3 linked regions of the Drosophila melanogaster genome follow. The protein of the gene in region 3 interacts with the protein of the main gene of each other region in a pairwise test. Each region holds a gene or a part of one and is shown on either strand. Other genes may lie near its edges.

Region 1 (4,143 bases), on a different chromosome or scaffold from region 3:
AAGTGGTTTGTTAGATCAGTTGGGATTGCTCTCTCTCCACCGAAAGGACAGTACTCACCTTGATGCGTCCGTTGAGGGCCAGCAGCTCAACACCACCGCAGGTATCAGCAGAGAGGAAGTCTTTCTCGTCGATGAACAGCTCGACGTTCTGATTGATCTGGGCCTTGTATTGCTCCACAGCGGCAGGCAGGACGTTACGTACCAGGGGGACGTCCACCTCGCGGCAGCGCAGGATCACCTTGGGCTCCATGATCTGGAACAGGCCCTGGACGATGAGCTTGGTCAGCACAGTCTCGTACTCGGACTGATTCTTGGTGACCTCGCCGAGACGCTTGCGGGCATCATCCAGCACGCTGCTCACATGGTCCTCGCGCACTTTCAGCACCTACAGGGTACATTACGAATGATTAAAAATAAGGTGTTTTCCGGTATATGTTAGGGCCACCAACTGGACGACACGCACCTTCAGACGAGCCTGGTTGAGCATGTTGGAGGACTGAATCTTCTTCTGCAGCTCAACTTGCTTCTCCTTCTTCTCGTAGTATTCCATGATCTTGAGACGCTGCTGCTGGACCAGGCGTCCCTTCTCAATGTTGAACTCCTCCTCGGCCTTGGCATCGATCTCCTCGGCTTTCTCATTGGCCTCCTGCTCAATGAACGCCATCATGTGCTTGATCTGAAACAGTCGTCCTGTTTAGTAGTTGCCTGTGTGTCACATGATAACTGGACATGATAAATGGAAAAGGGAGACGTCCAAGACCCTAGCCTCTATTTATTTTCGTTAAAGTTTTGATAACGTAAGGGGTCCGCTGGTCGTGTGACAGAGAGTACGAGTGTGGGGTGCAGGGCTAGTCGTCTCGCTCCAACACATTGCTCCAATGCGGGGGCCGTGTCACATGACCAGCACGAATTTTTACTCACTTTTTACGCAAACTATCTGGACAAATAAATTGATGTGTCTTCATTAGCCAACAAATATGTCAAAACTCCGGCAACTCCCAAATGACCGGGCCGATTTGGAAGGATGTCAGTCTAATTGGACTACTGGCGGTGAAAAGTTCACATGACCTGGGAGATCCCATGACTTCGCCATCTTTATTGCAAAGGCAAATTGCAAAGGCAAAAAGGCAAACGAAGCCTCTCGTTTTGCTTGTTTCCCTACGACCTTGATCGCCTGCCCGTTCCCAATCCAAGTTTTCAATTACCTGCTTTTGTACATCAGCATCGCTCAGTGCCATTTTGACTGATTTTTTTCACTGCACAAACCGAAAGGAAATTCAAGTGTTTTAAAGAAGCCCACGTACAACAACCGTGCCTGGAAATAATTGAAATTTAATTAAGCTAATACATTCACAGCCGAACTGAGTTGGAAACGGCGGCCCAACACGAGGAAAGTGGAAAACGATAAGTTACTTTTGCCTTCTGCCCAACGTCTGAAAATTTTCACTGCAAATCGATCATATGATTTCACGAAAGTGTGACCCTGCGATTGCGAGGGTAAAAATGTGTATTTGTTGTCGCTGTCAGACCACCGATAGACGATGTAATTGTTATCGCATTTGTAACAGAGGCTTCACTTTAATCGACTAGGTAGAAAAATCATGCGATATAATCTATATATGATAATGAAAAATCAATTTGGCTCTTTAAATATCATTACTATATTACTCGAATAATCGAGCGTTAATTTGATACATCTGCATTCCCGAAATCCACATTAATTGCCAGTGTGATCGGAGTATAATAACCTGACAATAATATGATGTGACAATATAAGCCATCCCTGCTTTATTGTAAGTGTATTTTTTAATGTACACACGCTGACGAAAAGTTGTGTTTTCTTCGGGATTTCGCTAAGTGAAAGGCCTCCATTTGATATTTCCCCGCATTAAATCCTCGCATTCAAGAGCCATGGAGACGCTCCTGGAGCAACAGCGGCGCCTACACGAGGAGCGCGAGCGCCTGGTCAAACTGATGGTGGACGAGCATGCGACCAAAAAGCCGGGCGAAAAGGAGCGCATCCATTCGGAGCACCGGCTTAAATACCTCATGGAACTGCATCACAACTCTACGTCCCAGCTACGCGATCTCTACGAGGACAAGGACAATGAACGAAAGGCGGAGATTGCCGCTCTTTCGGGGCCCAACGAGTTCAATGAGTTCTACGCCCGCCTCAAGCAAATCAAGCAGTTCTACAAGTCCCATCCGGCGGAGGTCAGCGTGCCGCTGTCCGTCGAGTTCGACGAGATGATTCGGGTGTACAACAATCCGGACGACATGAGTGCCCTAGTGGAGTTCACTGACGAGGAGGGCGGCGGTCGCTATCTGGACCTCAACGAGTGCTACGAGCTGTACCTCAACTTGCGGTCGGTGGAGAAACTGGACTATATCACTTACCTTATGTCCTTTGACCACGTCTTCGATATTCCGAGAGAGCGCAAGAACCGCGAGTACCGCATATACATAGAGACCCTCAACGACTACCTGCACCACTTCATCCTCCGAATCCAGCCCTTGCTCGACCTGGAGGGCGAACTGCTAAAGGTGGAACTTGACTTCCAGCGCCAGTGGCTGATGGGCACATTTCCGGGTTTTTCGATTAAGGAAACTGAGTCGGCGTTGGCCAACACCGGCGCCCACCTTGATCTATCCGCCTTCTCCAGCTGGGAGGAGCTGGCCTCGCTAGGACTGGATCGTCTAAAGTCGGCTTTGGTGGCTCTGGGTCTTAAGTGCGGCGGCACCCTGGAGGAGCGAGCACAGCGTTTATTCTCTACAAAAGGTAAAAGCACCTTGGATCCCGCACTGATGGCCAAGAAGCCCAGCGCAAAGACTGCTAGTGCCCAGTCACGGGAGCACGAACGCCACAAGGAGATTGCCCAGCTAGAGGCTCTGCTCTACAAATACGCGGATCTGTTGTCTGAGCAGAGAGCGGCTACCAAGGAGAATGTGCAGAGAAAACAGGCTCGGACTGGTGGCGAGCGGGACGATAGCGATGTGGAGGCCAGCGAGTCGGACAACGAAGATGATCCCGACGCGGACGACGTTCCGTACAATCCCAAGAACTTGCCGCTCGGATGGGACGGTAAACCTATCCCCTACTGGTTGTATAAACTGCATGGCCTGAATATTAGCTATAATTGCGAGATATGTGGAAACTTCACCTACAAGGGTCCTAAGGCTTTTCAACGACACTTCGCCGAGTGGCGGCATGCGCACGGCATGCGATGCCTCGGCATTCCGAACACCGCCCATTTCGCCAATGTCACCCAGATCGAGGACGCAATCACGTTGTGGGAAAAACTCAAGTCGCAAAAGCAGAGCGAGCGCTGGGTAGCCGATCAGGAGGAAGAGTTCGAGGACTCGCTGGGAAACGTTGTCAACCGAAAGACGTTCGAGGATCTAAAACGCCAGGGTCTACTTTAGAGGACAAGCCTACGATTATGGTCGCTTGAGTACCGGTCAATTCTATATGACGCTTCCTCTAAAACCTCAACAGTCTTTATAATTCAAAACGGAATGACACTAAAATTGGTTTTATTTAAGGAATCTAATGTTAAGCCATAAAACCATTGGGCGTCCTTTTATTCATTAAAGAAAGACCATGGATCAGCCAACGATTCATGATTAGAATCAATTGTAGTTTAAAATAAACCCAACGTCGTGTAGTTTTCGATAAAATGGATAACAGTTTTAGGAATATAACATTAATTAACGATGAGGACATCCATTTTCAGTCCCAAATCATCTACCCTAGCCAAAGGAAGGAGGTAAACGGTTCGCCCTGTCGCTTGGGATTCAGTTTTTTGGGTCTGAAGCCAGGGAAACTCCTGGTACTGGGAGTCATGGCTGAAGCGGATGAATGCCTCCTGGGTAGTGTGCAGATGCACCTTAAACTGACAACTTCCGGCGGGCAGTTTAGGCGCCTGGTTTAAGCGCTGAGAGATTTTGTAGATGACAGAGCGCATGTTCTGCTCGAACTCCATCAAATGATCCTCTGCCGGTAGGCCACTCCTCTGGGTTTCTAGTTGCATTTTATAGCTCTCCAACTTCTCATTCTCCTTCTGATACACTATTAGCTCCAGGCACTGCAGCTCCCGGCGGCGAAGAAGTTCTTGTGCGGATTTTAGGACGCCGGCCAGGTAG
Region 2 (5,978 bases), on a different chromosome or scaffold from region 3:
GTGATGAATTGCTCCTGGATCTGGTTTATCTCCAGAAGATGGCCGAATCCGCAGAGCGCAATCAACGTAACGCCCGTTTGCAGGAGGTGCTCAAACAGACCAGCCTGGACGAGGTCCTGGAAAAGAGTCTAACCACCGAGTACTCACCGCGTTTTATAAAACTGCTAAAGACGGCGGAGCTTTATAAGGAGGCGGGCGAGCAGCAGGCCAAGGCATTTGTGGGTCTTTAGACCGCTTTAATCAACGTTTTAGATTTTTGTTTCAATTCATTAGTTGTTTTTTTCAATTAAAAATTCCCTTTGTTTGAGTTAAGTCATATATTTTTAACACATTTGAAATAAGCAACAAAATTCGTTTGAATTTATGTCAATAAATATTTTGAATAACACTTAGTTATTGTAAAATATTTTTAAGAATATAGTTTTATCCAAAGTAGTGCGAGAGTCCCAGATTGGCACCCAGATCGGTCTGGCCCTTGAAGGGTCCACTTGTCCACTTGGATGCCGTGCTGCCCAGATCTAGCCTTGTGTTGCGATCCTGCGACTGCCAAAGATTGGCACGCCCACCCAGCTCCAATTGCTTACCCAATCCGGGAATATTGGCGTGCGTCAGGGTAGCTCCATGACCTTTGATGTGGGAGTAGTCCAGTGCAGCTTCATTTCTATCGAACTTGAAGCCATTGGCAAGCTGATTCTGCGAGGCAAATGCCTTGGCATCCAGATTGTGAACACCGTTGTTGAACAAATTGGCGGTGGCCGTTTGCTGGAAGCTATCCCGCACACCGGGCGTATGGGTTTTGGTCAGTTCCAGGCCGTGTCCATGACTGCTCATGAAAAATAAGATTAGTTTCGCTATTGCTCAGATCGTAATCCTTTAAGAGACTCACTTGTTGTAGCCCAGGGTGGCGCCGCTGGTTACGGGAGTGGATACCGGTTTGGTCTGCGTGTTGCCCGCTGCGAACACTTGTCCAATAACATGGTGATCGGGAGTTCCAACGGCCTTGCTTAGGTCCAATCGGGCATCGGCACCGCCACTCGGATTGGATGTGAGTGATCCACCCAACACCTGGCGACGTGCCCTGTAGATTCTGGGTGGCGTCGGTGGTGGAGATCAGTGGCTGGGTATACGGACGTTGGGGCAAGGCCACCGCAAGGGAGCCAAGTACGCCAACGATGACCACAATTAGGAGAACAATTTTGCTCATCTTGCTGTATTAATCTCTTGATTTTCGATCTACTTGACTAAGCGGCTGACTGTTGACTGACGATGCTGGGATCTGGTCACCGTGAATTATATAGCAATCTATCTCTGAGTGGGGCTTCCCATCGAAACCGACAATGAATACCAATTTATAGATGGAAGATTTGTGATGCCTTATCTGTAAGCTGAGCAATGTTTCGCACTGGGATCCCCGAATGACCAGGTGGTTCACACCGTCTGATAAGAGATTGTGCATCCCCTTGAAACTACTTGCCGGTGATTTGCAAACTCTTTAAGGGTTTATTTTGAAGACAATTTTAATTAAATATATTTATGAATTTATATATAATAAAACAAGAATTTTAAAATAAAATCAATTTGAATTCAATTTATAATAACATATTTGCCAATGAGTAAGTTCAAATTTTAATAGAGTTAGCTTTTAAATTTTTTATGACATTTCATGACATTTAAGACTGTTTAAAAATCTAGTTAATTGGTATTCTTTGTATACACAATTCAGAGGATAAGGGATCAAATTCGATTAGTACGCGATGCAAGTGCCCCTGCTCCACCGGAGCACCCAGATGGTGCTGCTGAAGAAGCAGATCCGGCGGAAGGCGAAGGAGTTGCGTCTGCGAAAGCGTCACGCCCACCGCCGCCTTCAGGTGATGAGAAGGATCCGTGACCATCTGCTCGACAGGATGAGGAACTCCATAGATCACCGGCAGCGGGATGCGGAGCAGAAGAAGAGGGAGCAGACACGGAGGGCGGTGGGCGGTATGCTTTCCATGTACAAGCATTGGCTGCGCAGCTGGTCAAAAGCTTTAAGGTTACAAAGTCAGCTAATTCGGCACCAGGAGCATGTAAAAGTGGGAATGCGTCGCAAACTTCGACACTTGAGGAGGCAGTTGAAGAAAGTCCGCAATCCAAAGAACTTGGTCGACAAGTGCTTCCATCGACTGTTCAAGGCAGTTAGGAAGTGGCAAAAGAAACCGGATTACTACGAACACGTCAAGGATCAGGACAAGATCTGGGAGGCAGAGGCACTGGAGGTTCGAAACTATTTATCGGAGGTTCGGGGAAGGCGACCACGAAAGCTAAGCCGTGGCAGGGTTAAAAAGGATTTCGAAATCGAGGACTTTGCTAAATTTTGGAAAACTGAAGTGTTGCAAACAAACGCTATGATCAATAAACAAAGGGCCATGAGAGGAAGAAACGTGCCAGTAGATACAGCACATGATAAAACTAGGAAATCAAAGAAGAAATTGTGGAAAAGAAAAAAATTATATATCAGCTTAGATGAACTTGTTATTCGGAAAAAATTGAAAAGAATTCGGAAGGACATTCGAAAGCCAAAGAAACATGATCCATTAAAACCATCTTTAGAGGAACTGAAAATGTTGATAAGGGAACTAATCAGCTTCAACTGGAAAAAGATAGTTATTAAAAACCCGAAAATTAACAGAAAAGCCATAAGAAACCCCAAATTTGATTTTGACAAAATCTCCGATATTACAACTTTAAACCCAAAAGTACGAATAAAAAGAATTGTGAAAAGCGGACGAGCTCCCAGAAATGTTCCAGATCCGAAAATCATTAAATTCAAGGTAACAAGACCTAAACTTCGAAAGCGTAAAATGCACTATGTGGATAGGGTAATTAAAGACGAATTAAATGCACTTTTAGAGACAAAGGCAAAGAAAAGGGGCAATCGTCATGGAAAAACTAAAGAAGCTGAAACTTTTCAACAGGAAAAGGAAAAAAGAGACTTGGAAAAGCAAGAAAATGTACTCGAAAGATTATATAATGATATACCCCTATATATGAGGCGTGATATTGAGAGAAGAAATAGGAAAAAACTACGTGACAAACTTCAAGCTTCTAGTTCGAGTAGTTCGATTGCGTCCAAAGAGGTTTTCATCGGATCCGAAAAAGTGGCCACTAAGTCGGATAAGCACAAAAAGCTTTCCAGTACGAGCAGCGTTTACGTAATCAAAGACCGACCCGAATTATCTGCCGAGAGGAGTGGTTCTCATGTGTTATTCAAAAGGGATAGCGTTGCGTCCCTCACTGAATCACTGAATAAATTAGTTATGGGCAATCGAAACCGAAAATTTACCCGTAAATCTATTCGCATGCCACCCATCATACCCAAGAAGATCCGCGTTGCTCCTCCAAGAGGTCAAGAGGAAAGTCACTATCAGTCTTTGAAGAAGGATATCATGTACCTTCCTACAAACAGCGAGCATATGGGTGTATCTAGGATTACAGCCAGCGAATCAGCTCTGCACAGAGGGAACCAATCGAACAGGCATCTTCCACGAAGGGCTTCCGATACCCAAGTTGGTATTTATCCGACTAAATCCCAAAGCCAAGTTTTTGGTCATCTATCTTCGAAATCGACATCCAAAAATAAATTTAAATATGATGCGCTGCCAGATGATCTTGAAAAACTCCTTGCACCGGTGCGAGATCGCCACGACAAAACAGAAAATGCCCCAAAGCCCTACGTCAAAGAGTTCGAATTCGAACGGTTTCATTTGAAAGATCTACGCTCAGATGCCAAATTCAAACACTTGCAGTTCCTCCTTAAGGACGTCATACAAAGAAACGAAGTTATCGAGTATATTGCCGATGTTAATGGACTTATGCAGGAAGTAGCTAACCATGAAATGTGGTCCCATCTTCAGAGTCTCTACAACGAACTCACAGATGCAGGAGTTACGTTAACGCAAATTAAGGAAAGTCTGGCCAAAAAGTACTTGGAGTATCTTAACGAAATAGTGACCGAGAAGAACTATGCACGAATGGAACCGCCGCGGGACAATATGCTTAACGTTTTGGAAACCGAATCTATGAAAGCCAAACAGAAGAAAGAGGTGGAAAAGTTTATGGAGCGAAACTGGTGGTCTAGGAAGCGGGTCAGCACACGGCTCATTCCCTTCGGCATGCGGGGAATAAGGACGAGCAAAATTGACCCATCTCACAGCTCACGCCAGTCGCAGGAAATCAAGATGAACGGCGGAATGTACAATAAACTCCTCGAGCAGGAGCTCAATGCAGAACGATTGGAGCGCGAGGAGCGTAAGAGAAGACGCTTTAGCAGCACCTTTGGATCAACTATAAGCTTCAACAACAGCTTGGATCTGGCGGCCAACGAGGAGCAGGATGTGCGGGACATCGAGTGGCGCTACTCGCTACACAACATTAGGAGCATGATGAACCAGCACCAGCTGATGTTTCAGGTGGGTTAACTATACTCAACCGCCAAAAAGTTATAAAATAACATCTTCGAAATACATTTTTATTCTTTCTTTCAGGCTTTGGATCGCAAATCGCGAGTGGAGCAGTTGGTCCACAAGAAGATGAAGGGAAAAGTCGAAGAATTGTATACCTCTGCACAATTTAGGCGTCCTAAATTCCGTTCCACCACTTTTACGGCAAGGAAGAGGAGCAAAGATCTTAGGCCCATCGAGGAACTTTACTACTCACCCCGAAAAACTTGTCGCCTGCAGAAGATCTCCTGTTCCGCAGAGTGTTTGGCATGCGAAGGCCAAGTTGAGAAAATTGGTGATTCGATGATCCTGGACAAGTGTCCTCGGTGTGGAGTAAAGGTGCCTGTGCCCGCGCCCACTACCCCGTTCTCCATGTCGTCCTCGTCCAGCTGCGAGATCTTGTCCAGCGGATCCATAGAAGCCTGTGCCAAGAACAAGCTGCTAATCAACACGCTCGAGGACCTTTGCACACGCTGTGGCTATGTCCATAAAAAGGGGCATCTTTGCTCACAGTTACCCATGAATGAGCGGAAGACCAAGCTTCTAAAGCGGATTAAGGGCACCGTACCTACTGCTCCCGAGTGCCCGGCATTTTGCTGCCCACGCGGGATCCTTAAGAATACCAGAAGTTTTGATCCTTAGCAGGGGCGACAAGGAGTGCTGAGTACTTTTGAAGCCACCAAAGTGGTAACTAAACTCCGGATATGCACGGATATGAGCACCACCAAATCAGCCGGCTGAGGCGAATGAAACATTTGGTTTAAGTGCTAAATAAATTCAAGTAATGAGTTTGCCTCTGTCTGTGGGTGTGCCTGTGTTGTTAAATGCTTTGCCAAGTTTCATAAAATATGCAAGGACTTTTGCACACACACACACACACACATTGCACACCAACAAACAGGGCCAAGCTCATGCGATGCACTCACGTAGAGAGAAAATGTCTGCGGGCTTTTAATACACTTGCAGGATGCTCCTTCTCCTGGTCGTGTTCCTTATCCCCTTGCTGCTCCACCCACTGCTCCCCCCGATGCTCCTGCCACGACTTCTCGCTCATGCAACGAAATTTCATCTTGCCTCCTTTTTTTTTCGGCCAAGTTTTTAAGTCGAGCCATTGCTGTAATGGAATTTTATTGCATACTCGCACTCGCATTCTGTTTGCGCAAGCGAAACATGTTTCAGACATTTTCATAAATGAAAACGCTTAACTACACAGCCGCCGATTGGCCGAAGATCAGGCAGGCTCTCAAGGAATTTTCCGAGTAACAGATCCTATATTTCAAAATTGTTGCAATTAAAATGGAACTGTGCTTACAATGTTATTGGTTCTTCAGTAAGGATATTCTCATTTAATTTAGGACATTTTATGTATTTTTATACCAGATCAGTGGATATTACTTACTGATTTATAAAGCTTGTAAGACTGCATTTGGAAATCCTAATATTTGTTAATCTAGTTCTTGCTCTTACAAATCTGCTTATTTTTCTTTTTTCATTTTATAT
Region 3 (4,867 bases):
CTTTCCACTAAAAAAATAGTTAATAGTAGAATATAGAAAACATTTGTGGAATCCCATATATACATGTGGTTATTGTTGTTTTTTAATTAACCCAAAATGTCAATATCATGTGCTGTTGCTAATCCTCGCATACGTTTTTAGGAGCTGCCTCGAATCTGGTGGGGAATAATGCCAGCAACGATGGAAGAGGCATATCACAAGCTCAGACGTCCGCAGGCACATGCGAGACCAGCTTGAGTACGCAGCCCCCAGCGGGAGCATCACGCACAGGAGCCAACGCGACGTCAACAGCGGCATCGGGAAGCAACAGCAGCATCGCAGGTTCCACCCTAACGCTCTCCGCCCAGTCGAACACAACCACCCACTCGGCGAGCACTCTGCACGGTCTGGATGGCGGCCCGTCGACGGGTGGTTTCAACTCGGAGCCGGCGTCCCTGGACTCGGTGGCCTCCATGGGAATCATCGCCAGCACAAGTGGCACCGAGCGATCACGCGATCTGGCCCTATGTGCTGTGCTCATGGACGAGTGGCTTAAGGAGCTGGCTGCCATTGCGCAGGAGCAGAGCGTTGTGCTGGTCACGGAGCAGGGGTCTTTATGATCGCTTGGAACGGAAAGCTTGTGTATACATATTTTACGGATTTGTTAGCCCTTGTTTGTTTTAACCAGCTACTCTTACGAAATTATTCTTTTTACCTGTTAAATTTTCGATATTTATATTTTAAAAAACAACTTTTAACGAACAATGCAGTTTTGAACAGATTTACAAGTTAATGCACACGGACTCAACTAAAAAAAAAAAAGAGAAACACTCAACGCGTTAAACAAATAGATTTAGGTTAAATGTTTTAAGTGAATCGGGACGGTGGATCTTAAGTGTTCAGATGTAAACAAATATTCTAATTACCAGCCGTACGCAAAATTTACAACGTTTATAGAGAGAATTATATAACACACATACCATGTATACATATGTATTTTTGCAATATATTTTATGCTTTTATGTATGCAAGATCAAATTACACAAGTTATGTAAAGCCAACTTGAAAGTATTAAATTGGTCCAAGTAAATGCACAGCCAAGAAGATTTAGTTATTCTTATTATTAGCTTAGGATTTCAGGTTTAACGTGAGAGCCAATTTTATAACATGGCAACCACCAGAGGAGTCAAAGGGACTCACTGGGTATACCTTCTTCTGGTGCGACACGTAAACGCACAGTTCATTCTGCGCAAGTCAGCTGAAGCTGGAGGAGCTGCCTGCATCGGAAACACAGTTTAGGTTTGAGGGCCATTGGGAGAACTGCCTTTGGGGTGTGGCGGCGAAATACGATGATAATTTAGGCGCTGAAATTTAGCCAAAATGTTTTTAAATAAAAGTGTTTCTTATGAAAACTTCAAGCCAATATATTCAAGATTATACTTATTAAAAGAAGCAGGCAAGATAAATTTCCGTTTAGATCGTTAACGGAAGAGTTTGAATTTGAATATGTACTAAAATAGAAGTTGATCGATTGATCGATTTATGCCCACACTTTAAACCAAACACATTCCACTCCGATATCTTAGTCGAACACAAACAATCGATAGTCGACAGCACTGTGGATGGTTGAACGCATCTCTAGAAATCGGTCGCTTTCAGTCACAAAACTGCGATCGTTGCGATCGTTTGCCGTTCAAAAAACGTAAAAGTGCGCATCGCCGGCTGAATTATTGCGTTGTGTTTATTTTATTGTTAAATATCGCATAAATTATGTTATACTTTTCCCCGCCCTGCACTCGATACATTCGTGTTGGCGACTAATCACACCGCCCGCATTTTCGCAAACTTTTTGTTCTTTAGTTGCGAGTGCCGCTTGAGTGTTTGTTAAGTGCAAGGGGAACACCGGCTGAAACCGCCTTTACGGGATTCTAGCCAACCGAAAATAGTTCGCGAAACGCAGCAGGCGACGCGTCTTTTTGGCTCTCGAAAAGGGCATGAAAACTCGCGAACTGTGGCCAATAAAAGATACATACAGGAAAAAGCGATTGCGCGAATTCTCGGCTGCGTGTGCGCTGCAAATTTGCTCGTGCGGAGCAAAAACAAACGAAAATAGCCGGATGAACAAATACATCCAGTGCGAAGAATAATCTACGCTGTATAAACAATTAGCCGCAAAACAAACGGCGGAATCGAGTGCCCCTGTGTGCCAGTGTATTGTGTGTGTCTGTGTGTATCTGTATCCCTGGAATGCGCAGTCGCGCATGCGCAAATATTTGTGATTTGTTTTGAAAGGAGAGAAGGAGCGAGAAACAGAGATAGATAGAGAAACATAGAGAGAGCGCGCGATCGGATTGGAATAAAAAAAAATAAAAGGTGAGTTTTGCTGTTAGATTGGCAATTGCAGCAACTGCAGTTGCCTTGGCCTAAGTTGCCATTTTCCCTGCCCACGTTTCTCCACACAATTAATGTACAGTGCAAGGAACTATTTGAATAACATACATGATAACTCACTCACAAAAAGTTCAATTCAGGCTCTTCAGCTATTGAAAAAACATTGAATCAATACTTTTTTACGTGTACCAAGCCCACGTCAGTCGACTAAAAATCCATGGGCCTCGGCCCACGGAAAATTAACTCATTGCCCCCTCTTTTCCCTTCGATCCAGAAAATTGCTCTATTCTCCTCGGGAACGCCCACTTTGTCAGCGCTACGCCCACCTTGCCCATTTGTTCTTCTTTTGTCTCTGGTCTTTTGTCTTTTCCCTCCACGGTGCGCAAACGAAGGCGGGTTTTTCCTCCACTTATCGCTCGGCCACTACGGCCATAAAAGTCCGAGTAAAAATCAATTTTCAAAACAAGCAGGACAAAAACAAAGGAACGAGCCAGCGAGGCGGCAAGGGGGCAAGAAAGGGAATATCGGACGACAATAACATCAATTTTGAGGCATTTATATGCGCCAATAAATTCAACAGTTGCTTGCTGGTGTGAGTGAGAAGGAGAGGCAGCAGGAGCGATGGCGATAGTATCGCATCCGAGGAAAGCAACAAATAACAGGCAGAAAGATACACGACAACGCGCAACAATAAGACACAAGATCAAACAAAACCAGCAGCGAAAACCGACCACGCTGCAGCATCGCCGTTGCTTTTGTTGTTGCTGCAGCAGTTGCAATAGCAACAGCAACAACCACGCCGCATGCAACAGGTAAAAGCAGCGACGCCACCGTTTCGAAACGAAATGCCCGCAAGAGCGAAAGAGATGGCGCCGAACAACCTGTTACATCGCCCGCTGCCTGAAATATGTAAAGTCAATTTCGTGTATCGGAAAACTGTAACTAATGCCAGGCAACAGCAGCAGCAGCATTAACCCATTAACGCGAAAGGGAGAAATCGGCCAAGAAATGCAAATGCATTGTCCATGGGTTAAATGGAAAGGCGGGATGGTGTAGTTGGGAAAACTGCTTGGCCACATACCACAAACAATGCAACAGTCAGGCATCGTTTGAATTGGCAAAATGTAAATAGTAATTAATATTAATACAATTATTAACACTATTACTTCTCGGACAAAAAGTATGTTTCCTTAGGGGTCTAAGTTGAATGTTTAATATTACTCATTTCTTTAAGCCTTCATCCGAGTTGGAATCTTTTTGCGGTCATGAGGCTTTTCTAAAGTATCCACAAGAATCTCCTCCTGACTTGGCCCGGCATCTTAATGGGTTAAGATCCGCGCCCGTGGGCAACTGAGGCCAAGTTCGTTGTACGCGGCGGCAAATAAAAGACAGCGCAGTCGAGTAAGAAATTTTTGTCAATGAAAGAAAACTTTCTTTTGGGCTTATCCACGCCAACATCGCCGCCGGTCCTCCGTTCACTCTTTCGTTGTCTGTCCTCCTCGCCGGTGATTTTGTTTTGTGTGTCGCCCTGCTCTTTATATTCCTATAAGCACCCATCCATATACGTATATCTTTCTGTTTAATTGGGCGGTTTCGAGATTTACGCGCGCCTGCCGCCATCTGCAGAATCTCTTTGGAGTATAATGATCTTTTGGATCTCTACGTCTCCGCGGGCTCCTCTTCATGGTCCATTAAGACAATTTAGCCTGGCTTCTCTTTTCCGGGCCTTCGGGACTCGGCCATCGGATGCGTGGGAGTGGCAGGGGCGGCATGGGAGTGACTGATGCGTGGGAAGCCTCGTCTGTTTGTCATCTTGGGGCTGCAGGTTTGATTGCTTGCGAGCCAAGCCAGGGCAGACCAAGCCAAGTCATCCAGCCATCGAGTGTCCAAGTTGGCGCAACAAGTGTCCCAGTTTGTGGAACGGCTAGAAGCCAGCTACTCGAACTAGAACTAGTTTAAGTTTCCTGTCCCGGCAGCCATAGCTGGAATCTCCTCCACATGGTCACATACTTGCATGCTTATAGTGGCGGTGGAAATGCTAGAAGTAGGTTAGTTTAAATGCTTCGCTTTGCGATCTGTGGATAAACACGTCTCACAAAATCGTATATCATACATATATCCCAAAAATTATATAAACGCCAAGATTATTTAATAAGAGATCAGAATATAATATGCTATATAAGACTTATATTATCTTTGAGTGACATTTTTGGTGCTATTCGTTTGAGCGCAACTGTGACTTTTCTTTTAGGCTCGGTCATGTTGACTCTTGCTGCCGTTTCTGCGGTCGCCTGGAGGAAACCCCCTTTTGGCCAACCTACTCCCCTGTTATTAACCGTTTGGCCACATTTTCTCACACAGAGTGCGCAGAAATACTTGGCAGGCCACTCTGGCAATTGGCGCGCCTCTGGAAATGACAAACGGTCATGAGCATGTGGCTCCGGCCCACGAGGAAGCACAAGGGGGCGTCTCGAGCAGCTAGCAGCTCCACTAAATT

The links. The genes of interacting proteins can lie anywhere in the genome.
Region 1: the proteins of Ccdc85 (region 3) and noi interact in a two-hybrid assay, tested with the Drosophila melanogaster proteins (one large-scale study listed by BioGRID).
Region 2: the proteins of Ccdc85 (region 3) and CG43691 interact in a two-hybrid assay, tested with the Drosophila melanogaster proteins (one large-scale study listed by BioGRID).

What each region holds. Positions count from the first base shown.
Region 1 is NT_033777.3:5,589,101-5,593,243, reverse strand, and holds noi (noisette), read left to right. Parts: upstream 1-1,784; 5' UTR 1,785-1,911; coding exon 1,912-3,423; 3' UTR 3,424-3,643; downstream 3,644-4,143. Other genes in the region: Vha26 (vacuolar H[+]-ATPase 26kD subunit), read right to left, coding at 59-385, 464-676, 1,206-1,238; PolZ2 (DNA polymerase zeta subunit 2), read right to left, coding at 3,705-4,143. UniProt on the Drosophila melanogaster protein: Probable subunit of a splicing factor complex required for 'A' complex assembly formed by the stable binding of U2 snRNP to the branchpoint sequence (BPS) in pre-mRNA. Involved in male fertility.
Region 2 is NT_033778.4:13,388,995-13,394,972, reverse strand, and holds CG43691 (uncharacterized protein), read left to right. Parts: upstream 1-1,611; 5' UTR 1,612-1,754; coding exon 1,755-4,448; intron 4,449-4,523; coding exon 4,524-5,120; 3' UTR 5,121-5,478; downstream 5,479-5,978. Other genes in the region: CG4744 (uncharacterized protein), read left to right, coding at 1-230.
Region 3 is NT_033779.5:2,997,650-3,002,516, forward strand, and holds the start of Ccdc85 (Ccdc85), read left to right. Parts: upstream 1-1,636; 5' UTR 1,637-2,352; intron 2,353-4,867. Other genes in the region: CG3558 (uncharacterized protein), read left to right, coding at 142-599.